Linked DNA regions of Neodiprion lecontei. The main gene of each other region encodes a partner of the protein of the gene in region 2 in a complex. Links are inferred from orthologs where the notes say so. Each region holds a gene or a part of one and is shown on either strand. Other genes may lie near its edges.

Region 1 (6,662 bases), on a different chromosome or scaffold from region 2:
CTATGTATTGTATTTATTTATACCTATGAATGAGCTAGTACTGTAAGAACGTACGTCGTTAATAGTGCAGCTACATTTGACATTGTGTCATTAAGTTTATTATAATTGTGACGGTTGCAAACATTGTCATGCTTGGAGTTTCGTCTTATGTGTATATTTTTATTTTTATTTTTTACTTTTCTACATGTTATCCACACCGGCTAACGCTATCGTTATTCAAAGGAATCGGTTGAATTGCATTATTGGACAGTGATATTTTGCAGCAGCGTGTGCGAGCAACGTACGTGTTTACTCGAAAAGTGAAAAATAAAACACGTTACGTGCACACATAATAATCGGCTACGTAGTGGGTGGATCACAGATACGAACGGACGACAGACTCACCGAAGACAATTACTTTAGTGCGCGAATGCGTGCAAATAACCACAAGGAGTTAAAATTTTTTGAAAGTACCCCAAGAGCATATTCCGGCTTCAATATATCCAATGTGATCACTTTGAAACTTTCATGTTAGTCCATCATCTCCGTTACAGTGTACTTTTTCAGCTTGTGTTATACGAGAAGAAACTAAAAAACAGACTAACATTTGTGTACGAAATGATGATTTTAACTTATTTATGATTGTAGCTGTTTAGATGAAAGAAAGGAAAAGATGAAACGATTCAGAAAACAATAACGCCAATTACAGCTTTGTTCATATTGATATAATATAAAGTAAAATTAAAAATTAAAATAAAAAGGTATATAGATACATTAATATAGACATTCTGAAGTCGCGTACGTACATTTTTTATACAAATGTGCCAATTGTTTCTGTTATAATTTTCATATAAGTTGTGCACAACAAACGCGAACATAGGTTTTACAGCTGATATATACATACAATATACATATATCTCAAATATTTATAAATTTTGTACAGATGGTAACGAAAATTAAAACTTTTCACCAATCAATATTCACTTATTGCTGCGCGCTTGAAATCACTTAAGTCACCATATTGGATTAGCATTAAATAGGAACATACTCTGTACGGGTACTTGGAAATACTTTAGGTATTGTTGGGTAATATGAGTAGGCACACCACTTTGATATAGGAAGCGAACATATTTTATTATTAGATTACGAAATATGTATATATGTGTGTGCATGCTAATATATCCCCATGACACCCCTGTACATAATAACCAAAAATCCCGCACCTACTAGGTTCTAAGTGACGCTCGGAAAAAAAATGAGATAAAAAAAAAAACAAATTATGAACAAACAAACGAAAACGACTCTTGCCAAATTTTCAATGGGACGTAGGGACAAACATTTGAGAAATCGCAAAATATATTGGTATTATAAACTAAACGTTCTTATTATGTCTTCCCATTATTCATTTCATACCATGTTATACCTGTCTAAAAAAAAGGGGCAAGGGATAAAAGTTTGGTCAGAATTGGATAAACTCTTTTTTAAATAAAAAAAAAGGTTGTTTTACTTCGATACATTTACATACAGAGTTTTTTTCAATCCAAAATCGGCTCTCGAAGCAAGATTGCTCGGCATGAGAGGAACATAAAAAAAAGGATTTAATTCCTATCATTCATTCTGAGCCCGATTTTATCTTAAACAGTAAAGACTTATCTTGGGCAGTTTTTGACGAAGATAAAAGTGCATTTGACGAAGAATGCTTACTACTACCACTACTGTTACTGCGTTTCTCTTGCTTCACTTTCTTCATCATATCCCTTAATCTTCTGTCCCCACTGACAATGTTTATATTCGGTGTGAGTTTTGGTGCATTAGATGCACCTGTTGGTGTACTGCCGCCACTATTCGACTGTGACGAGGTAGCGTTACTAGAAGTTGATTTGTACTTGTCGGAATGCTTCGAGGCTACGGAAATCAAATTAACGAAGGAATCAAGCATTTTGTATGAAAATATCATTGAACTCTTCTTCCTTTTGGTACACTTACTGGAACCTGATGATTTTTTGTGATCTTTCGATTTTCCTTCGGCAATAGTTCGCGGCGAACTTCTGTCCTTTGACGCCTGAGATAGTTGAAGGAATAATTAAAATGAAAGTCAACCAAGCTTCCAAATACAATTAGAAGACCTGCCTCAAAATGAAAAAATGTCTGTGGGCATAGAATTTTCAAACAAAACCTTACCCACCTGTTGAGATTTTGAACAGCTCGAGCAATACCAAACTAGTCTCGGATCATCTATTTGAGTATCCAGAATGTGAGGCGTATGGCACTCCTGATGATAGAGAGAATGGCATTCTACACATTCCACAAGTCGGTTCCTTGCCCCTACATCCATTCCCTTGCAAATGACGCATGTTAAATCATCTTCTAGAATCTCTAGGGCGAAAGTGTCATCTGTCTGGATAATATCTGGGGGAGTGTCGTGCGAAGGTAGGTTGATGGGTGAACTGTTTTTACTCGATTTGCTCGAGTGCTTGGATGACGTGGTGGATCCTTTGCTCTTCTTGCTACTACCACTGCTGTGGTCACTAAGCACTGGCTCTTCCATTGTGTACTGAAAAATAAATGAATTCACAGCGATATTGCAATGGAACAAAGATTGATCCTTTAATTTTTGGGGAGAGGCAAAAATCGATAAGATTTCATATAGCATATTATTAAAATCGAAATGAAGCGATTAAACAATAATGTTGATACTATGCTGTTGAACAGTGCCTTTTCAATATCAAGAACAATTAACAAATTGAGACCTGGACTGGGAAAATAAAAATAATCTATTATTTGTACCTTTTTATGGAGAACATTGCAGAGCATTTTCGCTGGGCCATGTTTTTGTCTGATTGCGTCATCAAGAAGGGACCGAAGTTGTTCTGCTGAATCCTTGTTCGGCGAATGTAGGAGACGGAGTCCTTGCATGAATTGAGGGTCGAGATCCAACTGAGACATTATTATCGCAACACTGTTTCACCTGGGAAAAAATGTTAAAAAATAAAATATGCTGCGTGGTTATACTTCTATCTTACAAGGAAGACAATGTTTTTATCATATTGGAGATCCTTTCAAAAATAGAAGGCATCACAAGTGATCAAACAAAGGAGGGGTTCGAATAATTTTAATTCCTCATATTTGCTTAAATTTTCACTGAACAATTTGAAGTTTTTCTCCTGTTTTAGGAATGAGGGAGATGTGTTTTACATGGTGGAAGAATGATTTTGAATTCTGATATCGAGGGTATTTTATTTTTCTTTTCAAGCCAAGCTATTTTAGATACAATAGTTCACTTCGGTATTTAACAGACTTAAATAGAAACATGAGGTCATTCCCTACATAATATATTGTTTCTAATAATTACCGTCCTAACATTATACGACCATTGAAATCGATTTAAAACCTAAATAATATCTTTGCAAAAAAAACCGAGGAATGGATAGATAAGTACTATTGGATCAGTATTTTCTGTCTACTTCAGTTCTGTGCAGAATCAACGTGCCACTGCTATTGTGGCTATTGGCCCTGTGCAGTGCTGTTTAAGTACGTGCTTCACGCTGATGTGTGCGGAGCATGTATGGAACAACGCTATATAAAACGTAAAACCACGGAGTATAGCGTAAAACAACCGGCAGGCTATACCCAATACCATCGGATGCGGGGTAGAAGGACCACAGACCACTTGAGAAGACGGTACATGCATACTACTATTACTACTAACACGAGTTTTCCCACCCATTTCTCATGCTAGTCTCTTGTTTTGCGATTACTGAATATTCGTAGCGACATCTGGGGATCGTATCGGCGAGTTATCTGTTGTGCCGATAGAGTTCGAAGCACTCGTTCGAGTTCAGTGATGTAATTGGTGCGTTCCAAAGTTTTAACCGATTGCGGTAACAATTTAAATATCGCAAATCACAATGCTTTCATTCTAGACCGATAAGTGTCCACGAAAGATATTCTGTTCGAAAACTTGACATGAGAAGAAAATGACGAGAATCTAAGGGTAATCGTAGTGTAATACACCATGAGGGTAATTTGAAATTTGCAATATATAAAACCATTAATATTGCTCCATGATAAAACCTTAGAGCATGTTTGTAGCACGAAGTTGGTCTGTAGGCACGTCCATATGCCTAATGAATGTTTTTCTGTTGTGACGTCATATTTTCTTAGGTAGCGGCGGTCTGATTCGTACTGTAATCAACCCTACTGAAAATTATTCTGTGATAAATCACATAATGTTATGACCGAAAATCGGATGTGTTTTATGATGCAATTTAACATGTGAATACAATTTAATACGTATTTTTACATCTCATAGTAAATCGTGAAGTATAGATTATAACATAAAATACGTAAATCATATGAGAAATCATAGGTTTCGGTATATGATTTGTTGTGTATTTTATCTTATAATCTATACTTCGTGATTTATCGTATGATTTGTTATGTATTAATTCGTATTCACATGTTAAATTACATGATAAAATACATCCGAATTTCGGTCATAACGCGTTATGTGATTTATAACAAAATAATCTTTAATAGGGTGACGATATGGGCGTAATTACGAGCATCATATCTACACACAGATCTTTTATTTTACATTTTACGTTAAGTACAATTTTGTTGCTAGAAGAGAATAAGTTATGATCATTTTCATTTCGAGTACGCAGGGATATTTATACACGCGGTTAGACGGATAGCCGACGTATAAATAAATATGTAGCTTACATATTATATTAACAGCGTATCATCATTTTTGTTGTATTAAAAATATTGTACAGGTTGAAACTTAGGATTTTCGAAATGCTCAAACAGTTTCACGCTATGCAATAAGCATGGCTGCTGTACAATGTATATTATATTTATAAGTATTCCTTTTTTTTTTTTTTTTATGAAAGTCTTATCAGGATGATAACAATAGTATTATTGAAAAATTAACATTTCGGGGTATTGTGTTGACCATAGCATGATTGTGAAGCAGTCAGTCGTACGTTTTAAGGAAATTGTGTAAAGTAAATTATATGAAAATTTTGTGGTAAACTTTGTGTATGTCTAAAGTAAAGTCATTGTGATCGATGTTGTTGATGGTAATTGCAAATTACATCCTTTTTTGTTTCTTCTTTCACGTATCATAGTCATTATCATATTACTTGTTGCTACATCGATCAATACAACTACGTTTATATATTTTTCTTTATATATTTACATTCATATTCTCTCGCATGAAAACCTTTCTTGATTTTAATTTTCTTTACTGTAATCGCATGACACTGGAAAATGAACTACACGCATACATATTTAGGTAAATACATTTTTCTACACGACGCTCTTTGCAGGTGACGTTATTGTTGAACCACACACGAGTATCTTACTTCAGGGAATCACAATACTCTGGGTATGTATGTACACAACGTATACAAACTACAATTTTTATGTATACTCATACTGATTATACGGTATTCGCAAGTCAAGTATAAACTATGGCTAGGGTTTATCTACTAATTGAAATCCGTAAGCAAACTGATCCAAAAACCACAATTTTTCAATATACCGCACCACGCATAGTTGGCAATAATATAAATAATATGGTAGAGTTAAAAAAATATTACAATCACAGATCTATTATAAATACTACCTAAATGTGTATAATTCAAGATAAGCGCAAATATTTATTTGTATATAGCGCTATAAAATATTATTATAGTATTATTTACAAGTTTATAAAACAAAAAAAAGTCTATCAGCTAATCGTTGACTTCTTAATCAGTTTGCTATAAATTATGTACAACAATTTTAAGAAAATCACAAATTGCAAGCATTTGTATGACGTTTAATCAATCGTTATTGAGAATTTCGAAACTGAAACTCGAAGGAAAGATATTTTCGAATAACATGAAGTAAATCTATTTCGCGGCTTCAAACAATGAAACGAAACTCAGATTAGATAGATTTTACGAATTACAATAATTCAGAACAATATATCTTGGCGAAAATATGTCTGGAAGACTCGTATGAGAAACAAAATTCAGTAACATCAGAATAGTTGCCTCTATAACGGTAAAGGTGGTCGTAACTTTTTTTTTTGTTGCCAAATAATATACGAATCGAAGCAGGAATTCCAGCTCAACTGAATCAGAAACATAAGTAATTGGTCATCGATGTCTCCTTTTTATCTTGTAGAAAAGTTTCCGTTTGAGACTTGACATCTTCAGCTAGTATTATTATCACTATTATTATTGTTGTTGTTGTTGTTATTATTATTATTATCATCATTATCATATTAGACTTAAGTTACTTGCTTTTTTCCTGAAGAAAATAGATCAACAAATAAATCAGCATTATCGATTTTCTGAGGCGAGTTGTAATTTTTCATACGCATACTTGGTAAGTACCTTAAGTTATAATTAATTAGAAAGCGCATTTATATATATTGTATAGGTATAACATATGATACGATAATAATGAATAAACGCAAGGTACCGATAATATCTGTGAAATTCTTTGTTCAGACATTGTAAAGAAAACCTCATCTTATTGCTAAAGAGACACGCCTACTCGCAATTCATCCATGTATATATGTATAGTGTATATACATAGGTGTATGTATTTGTTTAGTATAGGTAAACGTTTACATAGGACGTTACAAAAACCGATACCACAAAGGACTCACAGAACCAATAGAAATA
Region 2 (6,423 bases):
TTTGTTGGCTGCTTAATCGTTTCAAAAAGTATTCCAATACTTCGTACGCATGTTGTTGATCCTGAGTTGGATCTGTGAGTAACTTCTGCAGGTGAGCAAGTAGTTGCTGCTGCCTTGGTTGTTTATCGCCTGCTTGAACGCTCGTTGATAATAAAAACTCACAGAGACATTGAACTGGTAATTGGCTCAACGCCCCCTCACTGTTCTGAACAAGATCAGCAAGCCATGGCATGCTCTGAGATGAGCTTTGTTGCTGCCTCTGGATTATGTGCAGCAAAAAGTCAGGCCGTCGTGAGCGACAGAGCAAATGTCCTAGGCGATGAGATACGTTTAGAGACTGCAATTGTTCCAGAACTGCCGGCGGAGGTCTTCTTGCTATTCCGGTCGGATCCATTGTGATTAATTGAGATAATAAAAGACTATTTTGTTCGGAAATTTGCATTCTCGTCGATGCAGCGGCCAAGTGGGTTTCATACTCTAGTATTTTTTGCTTCTCTAGCGCCTCTACTTGCAGTTCCTTAGCTCGTTCTTGTTCACTAACTTCAGGTAAGGCCATCGTTGGTGGGGGATATGAAAAGTGGCTGAAACAAACAGGTCATTGCTCAAATTTTTAAGTAAACAAGGAAAAAAAGATTTGACTTTCGAAAAATGACAAGGATATTTACTTTGTTATACACATTTCCATGAAGGTTTGCAAAATTGGATATCTTTTCCATCCTACTGCACCGAATGAATATGGATTATGGGCTGCTAGTATCAGTAGCATTATCCAACCTTTCCAATACAAATTTGATATAGCCAAAGTTGGTGGTTCGTAACTAAAAAAGCAAAGCATGATTAGAAAGTAAATATCATTTGAAGATTTTGTACTGCTCAGTTCGCAGTGTACGAAAGTATAAAACTTACTCTGGAGGAATATTGATAGAACCTGGTGGTTGATAGACGCAAAGATTGAAAATCAGTTCTATTATGTCCATCTTGTCAGCTGCTAGAGTAGGATAGCTTTCAGAGGAGTTTAATGCTGCTCGCCTTATCAGTTGATCAGCTACTTCCAAGGTTTCAGAATGTGTTACACCATTTTCCTGAAAACAAAGAAGAAAGTAAAAACATTCCAAATTGATATTGCTTGATTAGGTAGGCCTGAATAAGAAAAATAAGATTGAAAAAAATAAGAAAAAAAAACTCACCTTAGAAAACCCTATCAGCAGTAATCTTAACAACGTGCTTTGCAGTAGAGGAACATCCGATACTAAACGAATGTAAAAGACTCGATCTGATTCTGGTGGCCAGTTATCCAGCTTGTAATAATGGTCCGGAGATTCTAACAGCAATATTTTATGCAAGGCATGAATTAGCTCGTTCCTTCCAACACTGTACATCTGCGGTGCTAAATTTTGAAGCCAGGAAACAGACTCGTACTGTAAAGTGGCGACCAAGTTTTGAAACTGTTGCAAGAGGGCTACATCTTTTTTGTCACCTCTCTGAGCCAGCAAGGCAGCCTCCTTGACTTGAGGGCTGATGGCCAAAAACATGCACAAGCACAATAAATCAATAATCGATACAAAAACTCTGTCTTTAAACTCGAAGCTGAGCAGTTGCTGCGATATTTCTTTTCTTTCTGCCATCAACGTACGCGCCAATGTGAGCAGATTTATGTCGTGTCTGCATACACGGACTATTTCCCTTAACAATGCCCTTAAAGGTCTTAAATAATCCTCGCGATTCATAAGCAAATCTTGAAATATTTCGGCAAGTAATCTTGCAGCAGCTTCAGGAGCAGCTTGAAACATAACTGCAAGCATCGGCATGTTATTTGGATTTCTAGCACTGGATAACTCATTATAGATTGTATGTTTCAGAGTTGTTGATAAATTTTCTGGGTGGAGGCTTATCAGCTCTCTAACACCGTTCAGATATATGTTGATTACCGCCTTAGTTTTAAGCCTCATTTTCACCAACTGACTTATCACTTCAACGTCTCTTTGTGTGTGCGTTATACAATTATAACAGACATAACTGAGTAATTCTTGAGCAGGTCTCATAAGCTTGGGATTGTGTAGCCACATTTCTAATTTTGGAACAGCGATGATTCGAATTTCTACAAAGCCGCAAGCGAAGGAGAGTAATTTCAAAAAGTTTCTGGTTATTGACTCTGGTTGACGTCTGTTCAATTGTTCTTTTACTGTCTCTAACACAACCAATTCAATGTTTTCTATGCAGTGTGCATATCTGGGCATAACTGGAAACTCGATTTTTTCTTTGTCTCCGGATAACTGAATAGCAGAGGTGGCGGGGTCGTCATCCTCTAATGTCGATGGACTGTGACACTCCCTCGGTGTTAATATCGACACATCCGGCTGTAATATACTTTTGGGTGGGTGCCTCGTGTTGAAACCCGTCAAAATGTTATCCACAAATCCTTTACACTCTTCGTTATCTACCCAGACTCGTTCACCCAGTGCATCCTCGATGTAAAGCTGTAAGAATTTATTGGATATGTTAACGTGAAATAATCAAACATGCGTAAATTTACGATTTGGTAAAAGGCAATTAAAGGATATCAGCAATTACTTTGACAAATATTTCTGGCCAATTCCTCTTCTCGTGAAAGCCTCTCATCAATAAATTGGCCGCTAGCACTGGTACCAAGGGATTTCCCTTGCTCTTGAAATTATGTGTCTGATCTCGTTTGAGGAGCGACGACAAAGCATGCAGAATACAGTCATTTGAAAAAATAGATGGGCGTATTTTGGCCAAATACATTAAACCCATATAAATTAAAGTGTCTGGCTTCCATCTCTGATTTTTAAGTGTTCTCACAGCTCCACAAACAAGTCCAACAACTTTATCAGCCTCGTCATTTTCACTTGCTTCGAGGACCATCGGGGCTAAATCCGCTGGATCACAATCAATGGCTACACCCTCCCAAGTCTCCGAGCTTAACATTGGAGGCCGAGAATGTGGGACATGTGGAGCCAATTTTGCTTTTTTCTGAGGAATAAGTGACTGCAATGATCCCGGTGGAGCTTCCTTCTTACGATCTGAACCTGCACGAAAATACTCCAATGTAAACGATGCACCACTTGACTAGCTAATTTACGATCCAGAAGTCTTTGCAAATTCATTCCACCAATCTTATTTTAAAAACACAAGCTATCTTGAGCATTGAGAGTATTGAAGAAAGCTAAGAAGTGTAAATTTTAGTAGCACTGAAAAAAGTCGTACTTGAGGTAGAACTCGGGCCTGGCTTCCCATGGATCACACCAGGTCGCTTGGAATCTGTAGCTTCACCTCTGGAACTTTTTGATCCAAGAGCAAACAAGTCTGCGGGATGCTGAGCTATTTTGCTCTTGGCCCCACGGCCTGTTCCAGTCTTTACGCGATCCATTTGCTCCTACGTTTTATGCAACGCATAAACTATTTATGCTCTTGATCGATAGTTGTATCTAGATATAGATGCACATCTATTTTAATGAAATAAATTATATTAAACCATTCAATTATACAAATGTATATAAGACAATGTTTATGGCGCTTGTTAAGAATGTAAAATTGGTAAGAATGTAATGAGATTAAGCAGGAGAAACAGGAAAATAGAACACAATTTTGAAGCAGTTATAACTTTATGCAGCAAGGAACTGCATAAAATTTGAGAGTAATCAGAAACGTGATACACATATCATTAAATATGGTTTACCGAAGAACGGAGTTCGCAATCTGCGATTGAAATTCTCGCCGCATCTCAACCTAACCTATACGGAGAAAGAAAAGCCGTTTGACACATAATTTAACAGGAAGACAACGTGTTTAATTTTTTGAACGATGAAGAAGCTTCCATGCTACCACTGTTCTTCTCAATATATTTTCTAATTGGAGTTTTCACTTAAATATTACATCAAAATACTTTTGATTTTCCCTTCCTCATTTTTGGAGTTCAAATCACTCGAAAACAGTTGTAGCGTCTGCGGTGCGACTGGGTGCAACACAACTGAATTAAGCGAATTTCTTGACGACTGCAGTAGTGCAGTGTGTATGCAATGCTGTATGCGGGTGCATTTTCACAGGCAGTAAAACGCCGCGGTAGCGAGCAACGCAACGAAGCGAAAAACTTCCCGTGAAAATGTGTCGACAGGGGCAGCACAACGCCGCCCGACAAGCGCAGCCTTTAGTTGATCGGGTAGTTTATCAGTGGATCTCATTTCCTTTGATATTCGCTTGCAATTCATAAGTCCTATAATTCCGACCCGTAGTTCTGACGTGTTCAGAAGGATGTTATTGTTGCCGGGTATCACAAAAAAACGCGTAAGAGAAGGCTAATTGGCACCATCGGAACCACGGGTCGGAACTACGGAACTCACGAATTGCAAGCGAATATCAACACAAATGAGATTCACTGATAAACCATGTGATCAGTTCACGGCTGCGCTTGTCGGGCAGCGTTTTATTGCCGCTGCCGATACATTTTCACGGAAAGCTCTTCACTTTCTGTAGCAGCGTGGCGCTGCTAGCTGCGATGGCATTAATTTACTGCCCGTGAAAATGCACCCTGTAACGGGTTCTCATCATAAAAGTCTATGGTTCTCAGGCTCTTTCAGGCTCTTTGGCTCTATGAAACGAATGATATGAGAGAGCGCCAACACTCACGGGACGCAAGCGACTCGCGCAGGCTGTTCTCTCTAGTTACAGTTTTATGGTGGCCCAGCATGCTGACGTGATCACTGATTCTCCTTCTAGATACTCTCTTCAGTTCGAAGCTTGATCGCATTCAGATTGCTGGGAAGGGAAAAAAAAAGAGAACAGAACTGTCTGCATTGCGGGTTCTATAGAAGCAGGAGCCTAAGTTTATCGTATTTATGTCAAAAAGTATGCCGGGCATGGTAAGTTGTTGCTTAAGATCTGTTAATTACACGTTAAATCGCTGAATTACGAACACAAAGGAACATCATACTTGCGATCATAAATCCTACGAGCGTTTGCTGCACAAAATAACGCACGCCCCTTCGGCGCAACTGAAACGTCAATAATCCTGATTACAGTCGCAGCTTATGTCACGTTGAATTTATTGAGCTATTAGTTCATTCCCGGATAAATAATTTCTTCGAAAATCACCTTCGTATTTGAAGCCTGATTCCGTAACTATCGCGCGCGACAAAAAAGGTTTTCTGTTTAATCTTTTTTTCTGATTAGTAAAAATGACGTTTATCACATCTAATTCATCCTTTCCTCACCTGCAGTCACGCCTCGTGACGATATTTGCTTAAATATACTTACTAGTCGAATTTCAGTCAAATAAATGAACCATGTGCAATGCACCAAGTGACTCTTATATCGTTATACCATTTCCTCACCGCCAAATATTATTTATTTGAATCAGTTTGACAGTGTGTGACATGTATTTTAGAATATTTATAAATAGCTACTCAAACTGTCCGACCAGCTGGCATAATTTCTATTTAAAATTCCCAAACTTGTGGGTGTACATATAAAATCAATGTTCTGCGAATTCTGAACCCAATCAATTTTACTTTCATCATTAAATCTTATCTAATCTTTACCTAAGTTCACTGTCGCTCAGCGATTTCAACTTGAATTTTATAACCTTGGCCATAGCTTCTCGTTTATTTTGTCTGATTTATTGTTACTAACAATATTACATTTTTCATAGATAATGAAAGCGATCAAGTGTCCTACCGACGAGCTCAGCCTCTCCAACTGTGCTGTGATAAATCGTGATGATTTTCCAGATGATATAAAGTGAGTAGTTTGCCTACGATTTGCTTAAATTATGCTTGAATTAATTATTACAGCAATCAAAGAAAGCTGGTGTAGTAATAACAATGAAGTTTTAATTATTACTTAATTATTTTTTGAAAAATCAAGTTTGTTTGGAATTGTATTGAAAAAAACTTGATACATGGCAGTACAACTGAAGATCCAAAATTTTCTGAAACTCGTTTCACTTTCTTCATTTCCTCTGTTTTGCTGATGATCTATAAACCAAATAGTTTATTGTCAATCCCTCATTTCTAGCAATGGTTCTGTCATTAATCAGGATATTTGAATTGTCCGCAAACGAAGTACAATCTCACTACACCTTCTTTTTACCACAATTGTCAAATGTAATCTAATTCGGATTCGATTCGCAAGATTTAACAATGTGTATTGTCTCAGGCACATCGAAGTTACTACAGGTCCAAATCAGCATTTCGTTTTCACGGTAAAGACCCATCATGACATACCTCGTGGAACAGTCGGCTTCAGCTTGCCTCAACGTAAATGGGCAACACTGTCCCTCAATCAGGACATCGAAGTTCGTCCTTATCACTTTGACCCAACATCGAGCTCTGAATTCCTCTGCACAATCGTCGTCGAAGCCGACTTCCTGCAAAAGAAAACGTGAGTATTAGAAATAATGAAACTTAC

The links.
Region 1: integrator complex subunit 1 (region 2) and integrator complex subunit 12 share a complex: the UniProt entries of both Homo sapiens proteins name them as parts of the integrator complex. The link is inferred for Neodiprion lecontei from reciprocal best matches to the Homo sapiens genes INTS1 and INTS12.

Annotation. Positions count from the first base shown.
Region 1 is NC_060264.1:35,288,417-35,295,078, reverse strand, and holds integrator complex subunit 12, read right to left. Parts: upstream 4,314-6,662; 5' UTR 3,610-4,313; exon of another isoform or gene 3,332-3,609; intron 2,948-3,331; 5' UTR 2,926-2,947; coding exon 2,767-2,925; intron 2,534-2,766; coding exon 2,165-2,533; intron 2,042-2,164; coding exon 1,966-2,041; intron 1,885-1,965; coding exon 1,592-1,884; 3' UTR 1,445-1,591; downstream 1-1,444. UniProt on the Homo sapiens protein: Component of the integrator complex, a multiprotein complex that terminates RNA polymerase II (Pol II) transcription in the promoter-proximal region of genes.
Region 2 is NC_060263.1:39,937,384-39,943,806, forward strand, and holds the start of integrator complex subunit 1, read right to left. Parts: upstream 4,160-6,423; 5' UTR 3,905-4,159; exon of another isoform or gene 3,753-3,904; 5' UTR 3,698-3,752; intron 3,465-3,697; 5' UTR 3,389-3,464; coding exon 3,226-3,388; intron 3,048-3,225; coding exon 2,572-3,047; intron 2,478-2,571; coding exon 1,188-2,477; intron 1,083-1,187; coding exon 907-1,082; intron 819-906; coding exon 666-818; intron 582-665; coding exon 1-581. Other genes in the region: vesicle-fusing ATPase 1, read left to right, coding at 4,854-4,877, 5,666-5,754, 6,172-6,396. UniProt on the Homo sapiens protein: Component of the integrator complex, a multiprotein complex that terminates RNA polymerase II (Pol II) transcription in the promoter-proximal region of genes.